2 linked regions of the Notamacropus eugenii genome follow. The protein of the gene in region 2 purifies or fractionates together with the protein of the main gene of each other region. This does not show direct contact. Links are inferred from orthologs where the notes say so. Each region holds a gene or a part of one and is shown on either strand. Other genes may lie near its edges.

Evidence for each region.
Region 1: the proteins of NUAK2 (region 2) and PPP1R12A purify together in Homo sapiens (affinity purification with mass spectrometry; 3 studies listed by BioGRID and IntAct, counting the BioPlex papers as one, with this or other methods). This does not show direct contact. The link is inferred for Notamacropus eugenii from reciprocal best matches to the Homo sapiens genes NUAK2 and PPP1R12A.

What each region holds. Positions count from the first base shown.
Region 1 is NC_092874.1:259,791,110-259,798,671, reverse strand, and holds the start of PPP1R12A (protein phosphatase 1 regulatory subunit 12A), read left to right. Parts: upstream 1-4,531; 5' UTR 4,532-4,807; coding exon 4,808-5,044; intron 5,045-5,188; exon of another isoform or gene 5,189-5,339; intron 5,340-7,562. UniProt on the Homo sapiens protein: Key regulator of protein phosphatase 1C (PPP1C). Mediates binding to myosin. As part of the PPP1C complex, involved in dephosphorylation of PLK1. Capable of inhibiting HIF1AN-dependent suppression of HIF1A activity.
Region 2 is NC_092873.1:434,279,712-434,287,676, reverse strand, and holds the start of NUAK2 (NUAK family SNF1-like kinase 2), read right to left. Parts: upstream 3,062-7,965; 5' UTR 2,881-3,061; coding exon 2,647-2,880; intron 1-2,646. UniProt on the Homo sapiens protein: Stress-activated kinase involved in tolerance to glucose starvation. Induces cell-cell detachment by increasing F-actin conversion to G-actin. Expression is induced by CD95 or TNF-alpha, via NF-kappa-B.

The sequences.
Region 1 (7,562 bases), on a different chromosome or scaffold from region 2:
TTACCGGATGAAGGCTCATGAACAAACATTATTACAGAAAAATTACCCTCCAACTCTTCAGGATTTTAACCCTGAAAGGAATAATATTCTTGGTTTAGAGAACTTACCTACCTATTTGGGTGAGGACTGAGAGAGTTGGGCTAGAACTTAGGCATGCTACATAAAAGCATACAGTACCATACAATAAAGTGTTTGAAATATGAAGACATGGGATTAATTCTGATTCTGATACTAACTGTGATTTAGGGCAGTTTCTTAAGGAAACAAAGGCCCAAACAAGCTATTTGTAAAAAGAGTTGAACTACGTAGCAATTTTCAAGGTCTTTTCCAGGTCTAAGTGCTATAAAGGAATCATAATTAAGTTTTTTCTCTTCATCGCTGTCGAATTAGCTATCTTTTAATGTATTATGTATTAATGAAGCAAATTTCTTTTAGTAATAATAACTTATGGTTCCATCAGTATTAACACTGGGTTATCATGGAATACATTCTGAAACTGAGATTAAGAGAAAGAAAAATCTAGGTAAACCCAAACCTGTGTATGTATTGTCCACAGTTGTCTTTTGACAGGTAGTCCTCAAAAGTAGGTTCACTGTAGTTTATATTTTGTTACTCATATTTATAAGGCCTTAAAGTTTGAAAATGACTTTTCTTACAAGACTACTAGCTATATAAAAGAATTATTATCCCATTTAATAGATGAGGAAAATAAGGCTGAATGATTTTTTTTTGAGTGACTAAGTGACAAACCACAATGACACTACTAGGAAGTTGTACTCAAAAGTTGGACCTGGAAGCAGGACTCAAACTTAAGCCTCTGGTTCTTTCTGTAGTGCTCTTACTATTGTATAAGTATTTCATCTCGACTATGAATTATTTTACATCTTGTAGCAACAGTCAAAAACAAGGCATGGCCACCTCTTTATCTTGTCTCTGTTCCCAAAACAGGTATTTGGGGCTATTTTTCAAGGCTTTTATAAGAGCTATCAAATAGACCCAAATATTCTTGGAAAACAGCTATCTAAGGCTAAATGGTGACCCTTGGTTCTTCTCTGGGTTATTCTGATTGGGTTTCTTGGGGGGTGGAGAAAACAGTAGCTGACAAGAAAGGATTTTTTCCAATTGCTTTCCATAATCGAGAGCTGAGACCTTTCAAAGGTATGGCAGATGTCCTAGGCATGGCCTTTAGGGACCCTTTTACTGCTTTGTGGTGCTAACTCTAAACATGAGAAAAAATTTTGATTAAGGATTTGTATTATTGTAGTAACATAGTTTTTTAAAATTAAATATGTAATATTAAGTATGTACATTGCCCTACTAGGTGGTGGAGGCATACAAAAGACGCTGAATTCTCCTTAAACTTGTTACTTCAGCAACAAATTGCACCAGGTTACTTAAAGAGCAAAGGAACATATAAAGGGGGCACAAAACAGTGCTGTGCTAAGAACACTAGATCTGCGCTTCTAGTCATAGTTTGAAAGCTGGAATCTAACCCCTTCATTTGGCAGAAGAGGAAACTGAAGTCCAGGGAGTTTAAATGGCTTTCCTAAAGTCACAAATGGAACAAGTGGCAGAGCTGAGAGCAGACCCCAAGTCCTGTGACTCCAAATCCATCATGCTTTCCTCTATACCACACTCAGAACTGGATTAGAATCTTGGTTCTGCAGTTTTCTACACGTAAGATCATGGGACAGATTCTGGGAGAGTCTGTGTCTCACATGCCTCATTTTCCCCATCTGCGCAAGTTCCCATGACTCAAGCACATTGTTACCTTCTCTGCCTCTTGTAGTCTCAGAGAGTTGCCTAGAATACTGAGAGGTCCAGTGATTTGCCCAGGATTACAAAGTGTGTATCAGAGGCTGGAGTTGATCCCAGGTCTACATGATGCTACTGCATATGAGATAAAGTACATGTTTCTGTATGTCATAAAGACCCATATATGATATTAATTATGCAAGAAAAATAAAGGATTTTAAATGTGGATAAGACAAAATTATCCCTCAGATCCAACTCTGAGAGTCTATAAAATGCAGTGGGGAGAAATAATAATTTCAAAATGCTTTACGCACATTATCTCACTTCATTGTCATAGCTCCATGGTCTTACTGTTTCAGTGACAAGATAGGAATTTGCATTTTCCTATGTCAAGGTTCAGTAGTCTTCTTTATCGCTGGTCTAGCATGATTAGGAGAGGACCACTACTGGGTATTACTAGTGACAAAGCACCTGCACTTGAGATTTAGGATTATCCAACCTTGTTCACTTATGTCCTATTCATCCTGACCCCATTTGGGATTTTCCTGGCAAAGATACTGGAGAGGTTTGCCATTTTCTTCTCCAGCGGACTAAGGCAAAGGGAGGTTAAGTGGCTTGCCCAAAGTCACACAGCCAGTATGAGGCTGGATTTGAACACAGGTCTTCCAGACTCTAGGCCCAGCTGAGTCACCTAGTTGCTTCCTTTATTTGACTTACCTGCTGCCTTACATTAGAAAGTTTATTCAGAATGTGAATACTTCCTTATTATTACCTCCCACAATTGTTAATCTCAGCCCAATTTTTTATTTGTTTTGTATCAGTTCTCCGTTTTTAATTACCTATATTTCTCCCTCTTTGAGGGTAGGGTTCACAACGTCAAGTAAATAAAAGGCATAATGTTTTTGGTGGGGTGGGACTTGTGATTTCTCCTGAAGAAGAAACTCTTACCAGTGTAAATCAGCATCAATTCAGTAATTTAAGTTGCCTAGGGGCACTGAGGGTTGTGACTTTCCTAGGGTAAAAAGAGCCTGTTAAGTCAAAGGAGGACAAGTTGAACCCAGGTCTTTCAGAATTAAGGTTCTTGTACCTACCAAGGTACCAATTATTGTACCTACCAAGGTACAATACCTCTCAATAAATGCTTGTGGAATTGAAACCAGTGCTTATTTAGCACAATGCATGACACATAGCACTTAATGAATGTTTACTGATTGACTGAAATAGGTGAGATAGCTATAGATACAAAGCTATACGGGGGCCCATGGCGTCATCTAGTCCTCATTTGTTTCAGTGGCCAGACCACTGGGCTGAGGAGTCAAAAGCCCTGGTTTTAATCTCACCTCTGAAATCTTAGCCAATTGACTTTATTTCCTTAGGCCTAACTCATCTATTAAATGAGAAGGTTGCACTAGATGGCCTCTAAATGATCTTATAGTTCTAGATCAAATAATCTTGATCATGCCCTGATAAGTTGAGAAGGAACAATATATTTTACTTCAAGTTGGAGGCATAGTATTAGGAAAAAAAAAAGAAAAAAAAAGGCCCTAAATGAGCAACTCCAGAGACTCACCTCTGATACTTTCTAGCTGTGTGACTAAGTCAAGTCACTTTAACCTCTCTGGGCCTCAGTTTCCTCATCTGCAAAGTGGAAGGATAATACCTGTACATCCTGCACAGGCTTGCTACATTAGAACCAAATGAGATCATGGATGCCAGCACCTATATAGACCTTGAAGTATAAATACCAGGATTACAGTCAAGCTCTGAGACTATCCCTCTGAAATACACTCCATATATCACAGAGGCATGACCTTGTAAACTGAAATGTGCTTTATAAATAGTTACAGTGAGGGATCACAGTAACCACAGATTTGGAGCTGGAAGGAACCTGAGAGGTCATCCAGCTCCCCCCCCCCCCCCATTTTACAGATGAGGTAACTGAGGAACTGTGAAGTTAAATGACTGGCCCAGGGTCCCACAGTTAGGGATGGTCAGCTATGGTATCTGAGCCTAGGTCTTCCACTATAAGAATGACAACATCCAAAATTGAAATATCGATTAAAGGTTTGCAAAGTACTTTATGTAAAATGGACTTTTCTGATCCTTACGGCTTGGGGAGGCTGTTATTAAAACACCCAGGTCTTTCTTTCTCTAAGAACAACTGCTAGCTAGCATTTCTAATTTGCCTTAAAGTTATTTTACCTGCGTTAGCTCATTTGATCCAGAAAAACAATCCTGGGAGGGAGGTGCTCTAATTACCCCCATTTTACAGATGGGGAAACTGAGGCACAGAAAGGTTGGGTTATTTTGTCCTTCCTGCCCCCGCGAAAGTGGGCATTATCCCCGTTTTACAGACGAGGAAACTGAGGCCGATTAGATGGGTGGGCCAGGGTCAGTCAGGGAGGGTCCGAGGCAGGATTCGAACCTGCGTCTTCCCGACATCAGACCCAGGTCTTGGATTGAGATGTCTCCGCACAGTCCCCGACGGGCGACGGCTCACAGTCAATCCGACCCCACCTTGGCCCACAAAGACAGTCCCCGCCCCTTCCCTTCCTCCGGTTCCGGAGGCTCTCGAGGCCCCACCCTCTTCCCCTCCGAAAACCACCGCGCCCGCTCTCGGCGGTTACCCTTCTCTTCCTCCTCCTCCTCCTCCTCCTCCGTGTGGGGAGGCAGGCAGACAGAGCATGCGCAGTGGGCGAAGGGCGCCTCCCCGCTCAACTCTCGCGATGTCTCCCTACGGGAGGCGGCTGGTGACGGGTAGCGGCCTGCCCTGAGAGGGGCGGGGGCGGGGGCGGGGGCGGGGAGGGAAAGAGTGTTTGTGTCCCGGCTCGGTCCGCCCGCCAGGTGCGCGCCGCCCCAGTGCTCTGTGGGAGACCGGAAGTCGTCTCCTCCTCCCGTCTCCTCCCTGCCTCCCCACACCCTCCTCCTCCTCCTCCTCCTCCTCGTCGCTCCGGCGCGCGCCCCCGCGCCCGCTCCCCCCCTCCACCTCTCCCCCCTCCCTCCCTCCCTCCTCCCCTCGCGATAAGAAGACCCGGCGGCCGGAGAGGGGGGGATGAAGATGGCGGACGCGAAGCAGAAGCGGAACGAGCAGCTGAAGCGCTGGATCGGCTCCGAGACGGACCTCGAGCCGCCCGTGGTGAAGCGCCAGAAGACCAAGGTGAAGTTCGACGACGGCGCCGTGTTCCTGGCGGCCTGCTCCAGCGGGGACACGGACGAGGTGCTCGAGCTGCTGCACCGCGGCGCCGACATCAACTACGCCAATGTGGACGGACTCACTGCCCTGCACCAGGTCTGTCCGAGCGCCGAGGCCCGGAGCCCCGTCCCCTCCCCCCCGGCCGGCCCGCCTGCCCGGGCCTGCGACCTCCCCGGGGAGAGACCTAGGACGGACGGGAAGGACGGCGCGGGGTGGGTCCGAGGCGTGGGAGTGGAGAGGAAAGAGGGGGTGATGGGCCAGCGCTGGGGGATCCCTCTTCTCTTCGCCAGCCGACGTGGACAGCCCGGCCGAGCCCTCCAGCACTTATTAAGCGCCTACTGTGTGTTGCCTTGTAAGCTGCAGGGCGAGCGTGCTTGGAGATCCCTCGTCGGTGTGTAAAGGGGGGGCATTTAGGGATCTGTGAGACTGGGGGAGTAGTCGGTGCGGGAGCGCTGCAGAAGCGCCTACTACGTGCCCAGAAACCCTTCTGCCCCCCAATACTGTGTGGGGGAGGGGGGCCGCCCGGGGACTTGGGGGACCGGATCCCCGCGGGCCTCGGGGCGATTTCCTGCCGGTCCCCCTCCCTGACTCTGGCGCCGCACTTCTCCTTGTAGGGCTGGACGTGGAGGGGGTGGGGGGGAGACAGTGAAGGGCTCCCCCCACCCCATCCCCCGCCGGAAGGTTGAAGTGGGGAGTCTGCTACGGAGCTTTGTGCCGCAGTGCCTGGGACCTTCCGTCCCTGCTCTCCCCTCTAGGGCCGGCTGTAGCGAAACTCGCCCATCGGTGACATGGAACTGTTCTGGAGTGGGGGGGGGGGGTCGGAGATCGTCTCGGGGTGCACGTCTCGAGGCCAGGTGGGGAGAAGGAAACTGGGAACTTTGCTCAAAATGGATGCTTTGTGCATGTTAAAGTTTTATAGTGGAGTCCGATCGGGATCTCTCAGTGTTAGCCAAATAAGGAGAGACCCTGGGCGATGCAGAGATAACGTGGAGCTTTGCCTTCCCCAGGCTCGAAGTCATGGTACCGAACCGCACACGGTTCGTCAGAGGAAAGCTGATGTTTGACTGAATGGTCGGAGTGGACAGCCTTGCGCACCTCTCTGCATCTCAGACCGAAGTGGGGTGTGAAGGCTGCGGCTTTGCTCTGAGCGATACCGTGGGGGCGAAGCTGAGGGCTTGGGTTTCATGTGTGTGAGCTTGCCTCATATTTTAGGGAGGTCTCTGAGCCCTTTGCCATTGACTGCTTTCAGTCTAAGTGAAATACGTACATTTGAAGTTTTGTTTCATGGGATCAGGCAAGTCTTTGTTTACCAAGTTAATTACGTGACTTAAAACTACTCACAAAGTAGTAGGGTAAAATGCCCCTCAAAATATGGTGGAGATGTCACTGTCTTCCTCTCATGTAACCCGTTCTAGCAAAATGATAGTTGTCTGAGGTTTGTTTTATGGTTAAGCTGATTACGCTTCATGCTTCAGGTGGTCAGAATGAAAAGGCATTTTCGTAAATTGATTTCCTTTCAAATTAAGATAAAATTCTAAATATGACCAGCCCTGGCAATTTGTGTCTTTATTCTTAGGGAGAAGAGCTTCATGCCTTTATAAGTCATTCTGTGCTGTTTATTTTGTTATGAAATACGGTTTTTGAAGAGGCAAATATAGTTGGGCAGACGTCAAGACCGTGAAGGGTTGGTTTTAGTATTTTAAAATGTTTCACCTTTTCTTCATTTGTCCCTGTTATAGCTGTGACCACAGTATATTTGAATGGGAGGAGAAAAGGGGTCATTTGTGATACGTTAATGACGATATTGGTTCAAACTCCACGATTTATATTTAGTGACTTTTCAGTTCCATTTCTATAGCTACTGTTTCAGTCTCTGTCTACACAGTGTCACAGCAATCACTTTGACTTGGTTTTAAACAAGTACTCATTTTTATTTTGGAGTTAGTGAGTTGAATTTTTGATACTCTGTAAACTTTAATGTATTTTAACTAGTTTATATAATTTATCTCATCATGTAAGTAGAAAGTCCTAGTTAGAAAAAACTTTTTTTGCATAAGAACTTTGAAGTATCTGATTTTTACAGCCCTCAGACTAGTGAAGTTTTATATTTTTTAAAATATGAAAGATAATTTTTTATTTTTTGTCATGTGTTTTTCTTAATTGGTATTTCTTGTGCACTAACCTTTTTGGACACTGAGTGTACTTTGCCATTGTGGTGAGGGAAGCAGGCACTTCTCTCTTGGAAAAGTGAAAAGAGTAGAGGATCTGGAAGTTCCAAAGGAAATTTGTTTGAAACAGAGAAAGCTGTTTGAAAGATCTTTAAGAGAGCTCCGCTACCTGTGTTTTATCAGCCACTGTAGTTCCTGCTGTAAGACAGACCTAATAACAAGGATGATAAAAAAGCTAATTCAATAATTTTTTTAATACTAATCCATTAAATAAAACCTCAAATATAATTGAGCGTTTTATATTTAATAACGTGTCAGCCGGACACATCAAAACATATTACAGTGCAGAAATTCTTAATGGATTAAATATTGGTCTGTTTTAGTTTATTAGTCTCTTCAACAAAAAAAATTGCGGATTTCACTTTGATGTGGAAAATCATTAAGAA
Region 2 (7,965 bases):
CTCAGGCCATGTGTATGAGGGTGAGAGAAGAGGGTTAACACAGCAGGTCTAGGAGGAGGCAAGTGTCTCTAGGCTGGGGGCACAGGTCCTAGAGCTTCCTCCTGGGGAAGAACAGGAGGAAATGTCATCTAGATACCAGGAGTATTCTCAGGAGGCTGAAGGATCCAGTGCAAATATTTGCTTTCCCTTTGATGCCTTTCTGGAGTATCCATTAGTAATGTCCCTCCTTTCATCTGGCTTCTGATGATGCCTTCTCAAGCTGGTTGGGGGTAAGAGCAAAGTCACTGATCCTTATATTACCAACCCAACCCTAGGGCGGTGGAGACAGGGACCCCTCAGGACAGCCTTTCTTGGAAGGTAGCATAAATACCTGGGAATTGAATTTCAACAAATGCCAGGTTTAAAAAAATTATTTATTAAATATCTGTTGTGTTCAAGGCACTGGGTACAAAGATAGAAATGATACAGATCTCACTCTGAAGAAGTCTAACGTCTCTGCCATCACTATCTGGGTAACTTTGAACAAATTAGTTCACTTTTCTGGGCCTCAGTTTCTTCATCTGCAAAATGAGGAAGTTGAATTAGATGGTCTAAGGCTCCTTTCAGCTTTAAATCCTTGATGCTAACGGAAGGTAAAGACATGTAGACACGAAAATAACTGATTTCAGAAATGTAAGGGGTGCTAAGAGTCCCAGGCACAATAGTATCAGTCATTTCAACAGGGAATAGGGGAGGGAAATTAAGGAAGACTTCATGGAGGAGATACACAAAGCCTGGCATATAAAATTGTTTTGTTGTGTCTGACTCTGGTGACTCCATCTGGGGTTCCATTGGTAAAGATATCAGAGAATGTCGAAAATTGTCTTTCTATGTAATTGGAAAAAATAAAATACTATTTGTAGAAATGGAGTGGCTTGCCATTTCCTTCTCCAGCTTATTTTACAGATGAGGAAACTGAGGAAAACAGTTAAAAGATCTGCCGAGGGTCACACTGCTGGCAAGTGTCTAAGGCCAGATTTGAACTCAGGAAGTAAATCTTTTTGACACTAGGCCCAAAGTTCTAGCTACTTCACCACCTAGCTGCATATAGTAAACACTACCAAATATAAATTCTTGCTGACTGATTGAAGTGGTTGGCGCCAGAGTTGAAGAAAGTGCCCTTTTCTCCCCAGGGACTGAGTCGATGCCTTGTGAATTGAGAGTCTATCCATAGCTAGATAGCTTATTTTCAAGGTGGGAATATAGCTTTGGGTATGAAGTTTTGGTATCAATCCCCTAGAAAAACATCTGGTGGTGATCATTGGGAGGCAGCTATCCTAAATTCTCTAGAACAGAAGGCCTGGTACCCAGCACTGCTCATTAACTTCCAAATTCTGTTGCTGCTTAGTTCTCCCTTCTGAGGTCCTTGATACCTTGAGGATACACCTCTCTTTGGGGGTCAAGGAGAGGGAAAGGAGGCAGGGGCATGAGAAACTCATTTCAATCCAACAAGAGCAGACTAAAGGCTTAGACCAGGCAATCTCAAAACCCGGATCCTCCTCACCTGGCTCTCCTACTTCAGAAACAGGGAAAAGTTAAGTACAGTATTGCCCAACAGCTCCAAGCTGGCAGCCAGAATCTGGGGACAGTGCCAGGCATTAGAAGTGAAAACACACACAATTCTATTGATTGGTTCATAATCCATTCCCCAACTCCACCCATCCCCAGCCATCTCCTTCACCAATGAATGACTTTTTGCATTTCAAATCAGCAACTAAAAACAAAAGCAGCAAACACCAAGTAAAGGGTGGAGACTGGGGTCAGATCCAATATAGTAAACCTTGACCTTTAAGGACATTAAAAAAAGAAACAAACAAAAAAAAAAACCAACATAAAAAATCCCCACAACCTTCTCCTAATAGAATGCCTTCTTTAGGGGGTTTTGTACTTCCCACTCTAAATAACCACTGGCTTCTTTTTCAGATCCCAGGGACCTAGTTTGAGCTATGATGATCTCCTCTCTCCCCAAGCCTTAGAGGGGCATACTGAAGCCCTACTCTCAATGCTTCTAGAAACCAGTTTACACAAAGCAGACTCCTGCTTAACCCAATCCCCAGAAGTCCTCTGGCTCATCATCCACAGTCCCCAAAGGTCCTTTGCAATCTCTGCTTTTCTTTCTCCACGCAAAAGGGGGTGGGGGCAGGTTTGTCTTTAAATTGAGCCCGGATGGAAACCGAAAAGAGAAAAACCAAGAGACAATGGGATAATAGCATACTTTTCCCCAGAGGCAGCCAGCAACCCGCCTCTGCTGAGGGGCTGACAGGTGGATCTCAGGGATCAGAGATGTTCCCTAATAAAACACATCATTCCTCTCTACCATCCTTGAGAGAAAATATTCATAGGTACCTATGTAGGTACTTCAAGAATTCACTTCTCATCCCCCTTTCTCCTTGCTTATCGAATCTGAACTACCAGATGGTTGGATTTTTTTTTCCAAGAGGAAGTACACGGATGAGGAGGTCTCGCTCACCCTTTCACTGAAAGCTCTGGGTATCTAAATTGGGGCCAGGCTCCCTCGCTCCCTCGGTTCCCTTTCCCATCATTCAGGCTCTTCGAAAGCTGCATAGACTCCCCCCTCCCGGCCAAAGCCAAGTACTCGGGACTCACCAGTCTTCCCGATCGCTCTCTTGCTTTCTGCACCTTTCCGTAGGTCCCTTTGCCCAGGGTCTCCAGGAACTCATAGCGGTGCCGCAAATTGTGCTTGTGATGATGCCGCTTTACCGCCTGCTTCTTCATCAGGGGCTTGGGAGACTTGATGAGACCGTCTGCCAGAGGCAAGGCAAGCCCCACGGAAGGAGAGGAAGCCAGGCTGGAACGTTTGGGGAAAGTGAAAGCCTCCATGGAGAGAGGAAGGAGAAGCAGGAGACGCAGCTCAGAACCAAGGAGAAAAAGCAGCAGCAGCCGCCACCAGGAAAGCTCAGCTGCGCAGGGGCCCGGGGCACATGTGTAAGCTGCCTAGAGGCCGAGAACGAAACTTACAAATCGAGGAAACTGACGGAGACTCAATGTTCCAAGTTCCAATAAAAGTTACAAGCCCCCTGCAGTCTGGCCCCGCCTTCAACCGCCCATTGGTCAGATACCAGGCCGCACGTGACTCGGGACGTTACGATTGGCTCATCCCAGTCTTCGCCCCAGACTCCCTCCTCCCCTTTCAGCGTGTCTGCAAAAGGTGTCAATGAAGGTCCTGCCCTCTTGGCCTTCAGTAACCAGGGATGGAGAAAGGGAGGAGGGGGACGAAGGACTCTGACAGAGAGTGGAAGGGATTCTTTGGGGGGAAGTCATAAGAATGAGCTGAGGGTTGCTGGTTCTCGAGGGCTGCGGAATTTCCCAGCCATAGAGTTAAACCGCTCCGTTTGTGGCGCTCGGACAGGGTTCAACTCTCTCTATTTGGGATCTCATTGTAAGATTTTCCCTAGCGATGTAGGATGATGTCATGATGTCAGCAGCTCTGCTTCAGCTGCTCTAGGACTTTGTATGGGAGGACGTAGGCGAGAGGACGGGATATCAATCTTTTAAACCAGAGGTCATTAACCTTTTTTGTCATGGACCGCTTTGGCATTCTGATGAAGCCGGTTGCTCCCACTCTTTCTCTGAACAATTCTTTTGGGTGCACACAATAAAGTACGTAGGATTAGAAAGACATATTTTAAAATGCACACAAATTCTCAGATCCCAGATGAACCCTTATTTTAAATCCTTAGGACTATAGTCTCTGCCTCCTTCTTGAAGTCTGCCTTGATTCCCTCCGGCTAAAAGACACAAATTTTCAAAAAGCACCGTGGTGTGCCCCTTTCATTTGCTCCGATCACCTTTATCTTGTGCTATGCTTATCTGTGTATCTGTCATATTTCTCGTGTTTAACCCTAGTATATGGTGAACTCCTGAATGGTACTGCTGTTTCACCTTTGTATTGTTAGCCTCTGGCACATAGTAAGTGCTTAATAAATGTTAAATGTTGGTAAAGCCACTCTCATTTGCAGCCCTTGAAATGCTTACCTGCATTAGTGAGGAGTTTTTCTTATCTAGAAGTTCCTTATTATTAATGTAATCATAACCTAGTCCCCATCACTATTATTTGTACGTCCAGAGGTTTGCACATAGTATGTAGCATGTACTCAAGCACAGAGACTTGTTAATTGATGTATTGATCAAAACCCTCACATCATTAGTACCCTCTAATTGAAGCAGACATTTAGTTCTGTTGAGGATTCTTAACAATTCAAGAAACATCAGAGAAAAAAACTGACTGTGGGAAATGCTTTCTGAAGTAGGATGACTTTGGGACTCACCCTTTCCCCTGGAAATAACTACGTCACTGTATGTAGTTTGCATTTCTATAGCTCTGTATAGTTTGTAAAGCACAACCCTCACAACAGCTCTTTTAAATTGGTAGAATAGCAAAGGCAGAAAAGACCTCAAAGATAATCTAATCCAGGCACTTAATTTTTACAGATTAGGAAACTAAGGCCCCCCAAAGGTGAAGTGACTTTCATAGAAAAACAGAAGAAATGACAGAGATTATCTGATCCAATCCATACCCAAAGCATAAATCTTGTCTATAACATCCTTAAATGAGGCATCAATTGATTGGCCTCCACTTGAAAAACTCAAAAGTCTCGAGGATTCATTATAGATTGTGAAAAGAGGTAGCCCATTCCATTTTCAGATAACTGTAATTGTTAGAGTTCTCACTTAGATCAAGCTGAGATGGTCACATGTCATTTCTGGCAGTAGAAAGACTAGAACTCAGTTTTCTAGACTCCCAGCCTAGTGAGTACTTCTTCCACTGGGCCAAGTTCTCTATTCAGGTGTCTCTAGGAGTGAGGGAAGAGAGGGAGACAGACAGAGAGAGAGAGAGAGAGAGAGAAGACAGAGAGACAGAGAGAGAGAGAGAGAGAGAGAGAGAAGACAGAGAGTCAGAGAGAGAGAGAGAGAGAGGAGACAGAGAGTCAGAGAGAGAGAGAGAGAGAGGAGAGGAGACAGAGAGTCAGAGAGAGAATGGGAGAGAGACGTAGGGAAGGAGGAAAAGAGAGTGAATAATAGGATAAATAGGAAAGCAAAATGAAGGCTCAGGGAAGAGAGAGAAAAGTTCTTCTATGTCCAGTCTCTGTTGTCCTTTCTATTTTCTGAGTCTGAAGGGATGAAGCTAGGTCGCACAATTTATGTTGTTATCGAGTTTAGCCCACACCTGATGCAAAGGTTTGTTTCTATACAGACTCAATCATTTCATCCAGTAGACAAAAAAGAACTCCACAGATATCTCCCATTCCTGCTAACCTTGCATCTGGTGGGGGCAGGGCAGAGATTGGGATGGGAGGCATCGATCTCTAGTCTATTTCCTCACAGGGATCCCCCTCACCCCCTTTCCCCAGACAACCACAGTCCTCTAGATGGATTCCAGCAGCTGCTGGTGGAAGCCCAAGATGACATCTCCAGCTGACATTTCCAGGAACCATGAGGGCCTATGAACAGGTTAGTGGGGGGTGGGGGTGGGGGTGTGCTTTCAGGGTAAGGGTTATAGGAAGACCAGGTTCCTAAAGGGGTCCTCCCCTGATTCCCGTGAGTATCAGTCTTCTTTCCTGTTCCCAAGCTCCTTTTACAGAAGTAGAAATGTCTCCTACAGAAATGGAAATAACCCAGGATTCAGGAATTAGAAAAGCTGTCTGACCTTAGACAAGTCACTTATTTCAGTTCCCCTTGCTCAATTGAGGTGTTAACACCTACATTACTTCCCTCTCTGGTTTGTAGGGAGGAAAACATTTTTTAAACCACAGAGTCATTGATATGGTTATTGGTTGTAGAAACCAGGGCCAGGGTTAGCCTTGTCAGCTCCATGGCTTTTGAAGGAGCCACCATGAGCAGAAATGAGGGGATCCTGGTACCTCAGGTACCATTTTGTAGTCAGATGCTCTTGTTGCTCTTACGATAGAGGGAAGAGAAGACAGCCTGCCCCAGAGCAGGCCTGGGAGGCAATTCAGTCTCAGACTCCCTCTGCCCCCTCCACTGAGAGACAGGATAAAGCCTTCAACCATTTTACCAGTGGGAACGTGGACCAGGTAGGTGAACCAGTATATAGAGCCATAGACTTGGCATCAGCAAGACCTGTGATCAAATTCTGCCTCAACTACTTACTAGCTCTGTGACTCTGGGCTAGTCACTTAACATCCTTCAGCCTCAGTCTCCTCATCTGTAAAATGCAGGTTGAAATTGATGACCTCCAGGAATGTGCTGGAGTCACTTGGAGAGCCAGGAGCTTGACAGTCAATGGTCAAATTCTCTCTCTGTCTCTCTCTCTCTCTCTCTCTTTCATTTGGGGTTAAGTGACTTGCCCAAGATCACACAGTTACTAAGCATCTGAGGCCAAATTTGAACTCAGGTCCTCCTGATTCAAGGGCTGGGGCTCTAATCTGTCCTACACCTAGCTGCCTCTGGTTAAATTTTCAATTTCAGCATTTATACCTCAGAAATTTGCAGAAGGTACTAATCTGGGCTTGATTTATTGTTTTGTTGATCATCTAGATTTAAGAAAGTGATTAAAAATAGTAATAATTCAGATTAAACTCAGAAGTGTCATGCATACAGTTATTCATTTGTTTTTGAGATTAAGTATTTTATGAGTATGCCCCTCATGGCCACTAAGGTCCCCTCTAGCTCTAAATCTATGTTCCTATGATCCCTGAGTTTAGCAAACCATCAAGATGGTTTAGGAAGGCAATATGATACTGAGGAAGGCACAGTAGCCAAAGAGGACCAGGGGTTCCAATCCCAGTTTTGCTCTGACCTACCTAGAACTGCTGGTCTTTTCCTGACCTTGATTTCACTCTATCTGTTAGGAGTCATTACCCCCCACACCCGCCCCCATACCCTGGAGGAATTGAGTAAGCCCCTTTCCTCTCTAGGGACTCCAAAACAGGATTTGAAATTCTTTAGATGAAGTAGCTAACTTGTCTAGGTAAGAATTCTCAGGGAATTTGACCAGTGTTGAGAACTCTTTATCCCCTATGGTCCTTTGATCTGGCCACCTTGATGTGGTTCACCATTTCTTTATCATTACTTGCAAAGTGGCATCAACCCACTGATCCTATCACTGGTCTGGAATTTTTAAGGTTCCTTAAAGCGCTAAACTTTAGCTGTTTCTAAACTTCACTGTTCTGTAAGGTCTCCATTCCCATTCCTTTGCCTCCACCAGTTATGACCTTCTACAATTTATAGGACTGCAGATTTGAGGATGATGAATCTTATCAGTCAGATCGAGGTGTGAGTAGTGTACTGGCTTCTATTAATTCTGCCCTAGTCCAGGGAACTCACCTCCCCCATTCCAGCTTTCCATTAAAAACCAAAGGTTCTTAAGGTGGGGAAGAGGCTTAGATAGATTTCAATCAGTGATTCAAGTCCATGAACTTGGATGGGAAAATGATATACTTATTTCAATATGATTGGTTTCCGTTGTAACGCTATACATTTTATTTTATGCATTTAAAAACATTATTCTGAGAAGGGGTCAGTAGGCTTCACTCACCAAACTATCAAAGGGTAGTTTAAGTTCTGGTTTAAACAATATTCAATCACTGGACTACCTCTTGGGACCTATGACTTGCCCATAAGGCAAATCAGAGTATCTTGATGATTCCTGTCTAAGCCTTATCTGTTTATCGCAGGCCCATGAAGGAAATGAACATTAGTGTTTAGACCAAGGTGGGTGTCTTTGGCCTGGCAAGCAGTCTATATAAGTCATGCCCAGGAGGCAGACAGAAGAGCCAAGAACAGCAAGTAAATGATGTTAATCTCTGAAACACAACTCTTCCCTCCAACCAACAGTCCATCCCCACCCCCACCCCAAAGGGAAACTACAAAAGACTGAGAATGACTGACAGGGGAATTTGCTTACATCACAGGAACAGATTCCAGGGAACATCCTGGATCATA